2 linked regions of the Arabidopsis thaliana genome follow. The protein of the gene in region 1 interacts with the protein of each later gene in a pairwise test. Each region holds a gene or a part of one and is shown on either strand. Other genes may lie near its edges.

Region 1 (3,760 bases):
CTCAATGTTGAATGGGATAAATAGCCCATAAGCGAGGACTTGCACACCGCACGCTATAGCAGAGGGTGCGCTTGGAGTAGAAGAAGTTGTACACATGCTGCTTGAATATACTTTGTCGTGTTTGTTTGTACACACTGAGTGAAAACCAGAGCGATTCATGTAGTTGTGACTTGTGACATAACAAAAAGAGAAGAAAAGATAATCCTTCATTAGAAAATAAAGATCCAATCAGAGTCAAAGAGATGAGTTTAAGAAACATTCTACAGTAAGAAGTCCGACACCCTTAAAAGACTAAACCAGATAGAAACCTAAAACTGACTCCAATAACAACTTCAACACCATAAGAAGCTGGGAAGCGCTATGTAGCTCAATCAATTGTAACTTTCCTTGATGGCTTGGGGGTCCTGTCAGATAATATCCCACTAGGAACCGTCTCTTCCATCACCTTTGGGACTGTGAAATTGAAATCTCCAAGCAGTGCATACTTGTAATCCTGATTGGCATCGATGAAGGCTGCGATTTCATTACGAGACTTGAGCTTCTTCCCAGTAGGAGTTATGTAGTACGCATCCATTTTCGAGTAATCCTTTCTCAGAATTAAGCTCCTTTTGAACCCTCTTGGTGTCCTCGGCAAGCCAGGCTTGTCGATGACCCATGTTCTGGAGGAATCATAGTTTAGATCTCCAACATCTTCACAGGACACACCTTCTTTCGTCTTGCAAAAAAACGGGTCCTCTTGTACTCTACTTCTGATATCTTCATACTCATCTTGAGTATCAATCTTCCTCCACTTCATGCACTTCTCACACTGCACAGCAAAGACATCTATCGACCTCCCTGGAGTACCGGCTTTTTTCTGCACCTGCACAATACAAATATGGAATCTCGGTGAAAAGAAGAACAGTCACTCACAAGCTACTTGGATCAACAGAATCATACTACAAATCGTTTAATATATAGCAAGATGAGAAAACATGCGTAGAGAAACACAAAAGTCAAAACAGGGACACCACCAAAAGAGTGATACTGAGAACATGCAGAATCAAAAACCAAATTTGAAGAAAAGGGTCACTGCGAAACCTTAAATAGCATAAATATTGATTAAATTTTATACATAACTGATCAGCCAAAGACACAACGAGAAATAAAGTTATAACCTTTATGTCTGCATCAGTTCGTCAAATAACACTAGTAACTAAGTCTTCGAAACTGGTTGAAAAAAAACCTTAAGATTCTCAACTAAAACCCTAATTAAGAGATAGAATTCAATGATAAGATCTGTGTGGTAAAGAGAGACCACAAAGCAAAATTGAAACCGGGTTTAGGTTTAGTGAGGTTTACCTTAATGGTTGTTGGTTCAGCTGATTTCTCAGTCTGCTCCTCAATCTTACTTCCAGATGAAGCAACTGATGAGTTTTCCGATCGAGACTTCTTCAAGTTCATTGCCGGAAATGGTAACATTAAACCTTCAATTTCAAGCCCTAAACGATCAGTATAACGAAGCGAGAGAAAACTCCAAAATTGCGAAATTCAAGTACGAAATCGAATCAAAGAGCAGATTCAAGGAGAGTGATCCAAAAGTTCATACCTCGAACAACGATTCAGATTTCCAAAAATCTCAGAGCTCTTTGTTAGAGAATTTGAGAATTTTTCTTTGAACCCTTTTTAATGCAATGTTTTTTTTTGGCCAGCAGAAGAAGAAAAAATCTTCTCCAACTGTATTTACAGATGTCGAGATATGATTGGTTCAATGCGACACGCAGACCATTTCTGTAATTTTTAATGGATTTTCTACTAAACAGGGCATAATAATTAATTAAATTTCCAAGTGTTTGTTAAATGGTTGACTCTGGATTTTAAATATGTACATATTTGGCCAAAATTATATAGACCAGAAATTTAGTTTTTAAAAAAAATTATTTTAGTAAAAGTATTACATTATAAAATAACAATAAAACAAAAAAGGACAAAAATAATTATTTTTGATTCGATCAAAAACATACAGAAAGTATGTGGTACGTCAAATCTTTGATAGTTACAGTACATCATTCACGTGTCGTGATTTTTTTATTTTTTATGATAAATAACATGTTATTATTATCAATAGTGAAAAAATGAAAATGGTATATTTAAGCAAATGTGAAAATGGTATATTTAAGAAGTTTGAGAAATTTCTTTTCACGAAATAAAAAGATACAAATTCCACAATAGGCACTAATCTTTATAATACACAAGACAATGTTTGATATAATATTTGATTGATACATACACAAAGCAGAAGACACACTTCCAAAAATTTCAAGTTTGTAAGGTCATAGAGACTGAAGCGGCTCTGTCTCGGACTCCGACCTGCTCGTAAAGTCTAACCCTCCAAGTGCTGGCAACTTCTTCTTATCGTCTTCCGTGTACAATGGCACGAACCAATACATTTTATCACTTCCAAAAACCTGATTCAACAAAGGAATAGAGACCAAACTTTTTAAAGCTTTCATTGTGTTCGATGTCAAAGATATTATCTAAGTAGCGGGGAAACGAATCAGTCACTGAAGAACGAGTGAAACAAAGAAGATGGAGAGCGAACCTGTTCAAAGTTTGTCTTACGACCAACGTTGTATGGCCAGTTCACTGTATGCTTCTCATACGCCTGAGATTAAAGAAACCATTAGTTTGGTCAGTGAGTTTATTGACATGGAGATTCCTGAGAGAACCCAAGTTAAGAGCAAAACCAAGTGAGAGTTGTTGCTTTACCTCAATAGTTGTGGTGTTACGAGCGACCAACATTATGTGCATTATTAGGAAGCCTAGGACACTTAGGGCAAATGCTATGTTCAATACTGGAAAGCAAGAGAGTGAAGTTTTTGAATCAGATGGTAACGTTAAGGTGTTCTGAAACAAAAACGGAAACTGAGATTTCTATATCTTTGAACTCACCAAATGCAACAAAGCTGGCTGCTAGGCTTCCTGGTGATACGGTTATATCACCATCTCCATCGCTGAAGAATACGAGGAAAATTGGCAATAGTGATACTGCAACCACCGTTGTCTCAAGAAATGTGTAAAACTGCATTTTTGAGATATTGGGAATGGATTATGATCATGGCAACATTAATGAACAGAACATATCAAAAACAACTTCGTTCAGCGATGCTATGATAAGTTGACATACCAAGAATAGGAGAAATGATTTGTAGTTATTTGCACCAACACAATTCACCACCCAAACACAGTGATGGTCCATCTTTAGTATGCATCTTCCACCTGAAAACCCAATATGACAACTTTTTCACTACTAAAAAACACATATACCGGATTCAAAGAAAAGAATCACTCATTGAAGAGACTTACAGACTGAACAATGGTGAGAACGAGGCGGTTTATATTGATTGCACTTTCTACAATATCTTACACCATGAGACGAGGAATCTCCAACCGAAGCTTCTCCAATCAAAGCTTGGTTTCCCTCGCTTTTCTCTATGTCTAATTCTGGCCTCCAACCCGTTGGAACACCACCAGGGTCCGTCACAACAACAGAGAAATAACTCCACAGTAGCATTATAAGCTGCAAACAAAACAACAATCATAAAAAAAATGAGTCCTTTGCTTCCTTACTCTTTCCTCTGTGAGTTCTACAATGCGAGGGAGTTCAAATGTTGATAATCTATTAAAACACACAAGAAACCAACAGCTTTAAAACTAAAAGAAACAAAGACACTCTACACTACAACCAAATCAAACCAAAAAAAAAAAGATGAATACTTGA
Region 2 (3,760 bases), on another chromosome or scaffold:
TGTCCTCTCTATCCCTATCAGAGCTAATAAGGAGACTGTTTTGATTCACTTGAACAGGAACTTCCTTTGTTTCTCTATTCACAACACACTTGTTCTGAATAGGTTCAACAGATTCCTCTGTGTCGTCATCCGAACTTATCTCAGGCTCAACGATATCAGGAGGAGTATCGTTGATGTTTAGAGTGACAGAGAGAGAGAAAATAGGTTTACAAAGATCTTTCTCCTTTGGTACGACTTCCTGAAAAGTTGATCCTTCAGCTTCGTCCTAAGATGCATAAACACATTAGTTGCAAACAGATAGTTAACAAAGGAGAACAATAGTTATACAAAGACTCATATACATACTTACCAATCCATTGTCTTCAGGTTCGTTGTTCAGGTCAAATAGATTCTTAATTTTAGGCTCCTTAGGAGGCAGTTCGGGTTCTGGTTTCGAATCAATCTTCTTCGGGAGTGAAGCTTTTCTCCCACGTTTCTGGAACGTGATTATCGGTTTTCTAGTGCTTTGAAGAGCTAGAACGGTCTCCCTATGTTTCTCCTCCACAACCACATTAGGTGGTTCCACAACCACATTGGCTGGTTCCAATGGAGTATCAGGTGAGGATGATACTCTAGATGAAGAGACCCGCAGTGAAGTTCGAGATTTTCTCTTCTTTTTCGAAGATTTCACAGACGCTGCAACAGTTTTAGGTCCTGCCTTCTTTAAGCTTTCCATCATTGCTCGGTAGATTTTCAGCTTCAAATCCTGCCAAGTGCAATCCGACCTGCACTTATATAGATACCTCAAATCACATAAAAGCATAAAGATAGATGCAAATGCTAAGAATCAAACAAGTTCATACCGAAGTTTCTCTAGAGGAAAAACACCGAGGTTAACGTTGCAGACTGGACAAGCGTTCACTCTCTCATTTATGAACTTGTTACGAATGCAGCTCCTGCAAACTGTTACCACAAATTCCACAAGTCCCAATTCATATAAAGACACAAGATATACCAATACTTAAAGCCAGGACTAGAAACATAACAAGCTAAAGAAACAGCAACTTTGAAATCACAAAGACATAAACAGACACTGAATCATCCACTTACAAAAAAAAACAGTCCTTATCTGCTTACCTTAATATTTACACAGATACATGTTGAAACACACACAACAACACCAAAAAGCTAAACAAAACATCGGTTTCAACTTCCAAGTTTCAGAATCAATCTGATATAATCTCTAGTCTACACTAATTAATATAACCAATAAACAGAGAGATAGTCACAAACAAAAAATCAGAATCTAAATCACAAAGATAAAGGAAAAAACAATCGAAGGGTTACACTTACAGGTGTGGAGACACTCGGAGATTGTGGTGGCATCCTTAAACGGATTAGTGCAGATTGGACAAGCAAGGCATGGCTTAACCTCCTTACTAAGCACCTTTGTTAACATCTTTCTCTCCGATTCCCAAACTCAACAAATCGATAAGATTTATTGATTATATAGCTTCTTCGTTCACGTAACACAACATGGTGCATGAACGAAGAAGAAGACAAACCCACAAAAAAAAGTGTCTAGCTTTATTGTTGGTTTTCTCAGAGAGAATCGATTGTTGAAAAGATTGGATTTTGGTCTCTCAAGTTTCGCTCTCTCTGTCTCTCTCAGAGAAAAAAAAAATCTGTGTAAGAAGAGGTTTTGATTTTGGAAGAGTTTGCTTTTAAGTATTTTTAGAGAGGGTTGGTTTTAAAACTATGAATAATTAGAGAGGGTCAAAGTGACAGAAAGCTAAACTTCGGTGGCTCACAAAGAAAATATATTATAGTTTTTATGCCAATGATTACATGAGTGATGCATTAGGTTTAATTTATATTTAACAATTTATTGCAAAGTTTTTCAAATATAGAGTTACAAATTTGTTCATAAAAGGTCTACATTGTATATATATTTTTATATTTATTTTTCAGGCTCTTTAGTTTTCTTTTTGTTAACTTATAATCATTATGTTTTGGCCGTTACTAATTTATAAGGAAATTACATTTTTTCTTACGTAAGCAATTACGTATTTAACAAATAAAAATTTAGATTTTTTAACTATTTAAGTAGTATAGAATTAAATGAGTATTTCTTACTTAACATCTCTAAAGATTTTTGTAAATTTCTATGTAGGTTTTGTTCAATATCGGGAAAAATATCTACGTGTCAAAAACTTTCAATCTTACTAAAACATTTACAACATTTTCTTACGTCACCAATTACGTATTTAACAAATGAAAATTTAGATTTTTTACTATTTAAAATTTAATTAAATGCTTATCCTTTGACTTAAAATCTTTAAATATTTTGTAAATTTCTATGTACGTTTTGTTCAATTTCGAGAAAAATATCTACATGTAGTTTACGTGTTCAAAATTTTTAAATTCTTCTATAAAATTTACATCTTTTTGACGTCAGCAATTACGTATTTAACAAATGAAATTTTAGATTTCTTACTATGTAAGTAAAATTAAATTAAATGCGTATTTCTGACTTAAAATCTCTAAATACACTGTAAATTTCTTTCTATGTTTGTTCAATTTCAAGAAAAATATCCGCATGTAATATACTTGTCAAAATTCCAAATCTTTCTAAACAATTTCATGTATATACATTGAATTTCATATTGGACCATACCAAATTTCTGTATTATGCGAGATATACTGTTTAATTTATATTTTTCCTAAACTGATGCTACATGTGTAAAAATGATCTCATATATTATTTGACGAGTTAGAGAGAATATTTATAAATATTTCCTACATGTCTTTACAAGAATACAGTTTTAGGAATTGGTTTTTGTTTTTACGTAAAAATAATGTTTAAGCTACTTTTATTAGTGTTTTGAAATGTGTAGTACAAGAACAATGTCTCTTGGAAAATATTTCTGAATCTCCTTAATGAATTTTATGATAAGATTTTATAGAATTTACATTAGTCCTGTATAAATTCACATTAAATGTATTATAGACAAAACATTGGTATATAAAGAATACTACGTGAAAATATTTGTGAATCCTTTTTGTGAAGTGTTTGATATATGAGGAGATATTTCATGTCTAAAATCTAATTTATCATAAAACAAAAATAGTGCAATGTAGATTTTCAAAAAAAAGAAAAACATTTTCACCTATCTTTTGTTCTTATTTTGTGTGTCAACATATTCCCTTCGCTTTATTTTCTTAAGTGTAAATAAAAGGGCCTTCCTGGAAAGTAAACTATAATAAACGAACCTCTAAAAGATGTAAACTAGGCCTTGCATATTATGGCCTCATGAGGCTTTTGGGTTTGTACTAGTTTGGATTTATTTGTAAAGTGTCATCATGTATCAAATTTTGAATTCCTATGGCCACTCTCTTAGACATTGCAAGAATTGAATGGTCGTACGAAATTAAGAAAACAGATATTTAAGTCAAAAAAATAAATCTTTGGAATGAAACTTCACGTACATGATAATGATTGTTAATATGCTGATTATATATATATTGAACTCAGAAACTTAAAGTCTAGTACAAAAACAGAAACAGAAATAAAAGAGTCCAAACTCCCATATATAGCAGTTCAAATATCATAATAACATAAACATTTCGAATTTGTGGTTTTAATTTAGTAAACAATTGGACATGCTACTATAATTTCTTAAACTGCTTTTTCAAAACTAAACACGTATTATCTCCAGAGTCCAGATCATTTGAATATTTATTGTTTGTGTAATCTGGGTCTTTTCTGTTTGATATATTA

Evidence for each region. Proteins that work in one complex are often made in the same cells at the same time.
Region 2: the proteins of MBD1 (region 1) and AT3G23060 interact in a two-hybrid assay, tested with the Arabidopsis thaliana proteins (one large-scale study listed by BioGRID).

What each region holds. Positions count from the first base shown.
Region 1 is NC_003075.7:11,947,054-11,950,813, forward strand, and holds MBD1 (methyl-CPG-binding domain 1), read right to left. Parts: upstream 1,752-3,760; 5' UTR 1,589-1,751; intron 1,467-1,588; 5' UTR 1,462-1,466; coding exon 1,342-1,461; intron 863-1,341; coding exon 368-862; 3' UTR 157-367; downstream 1-156. Other genes in the region: AT4G22750 (DHHC-type zinc finger protein), read right to left, coding at 2,313-2,447, 2,582-2,644, 2,749-2,834, 2,932-3,061, 3,167-3,258, 3,346-3,559. UniProt on the Arabidopsis thaliana protein: Probable transcriptional regulator.
Region 2 is NC_003074.8:8,198,546-8,202,305, reverse strand, and holds the start of AT3G23060 (RING/U-box superfamily protein), read right to left. Parts: upstream 1,671-3,760; 5' UTR 1,439-1,670; coding exon 1,333-1,438; intron 943-1,332; coding exon 843-942; intron 765-842; coding exon 350-764; intron 266-349; coding exon 1-265.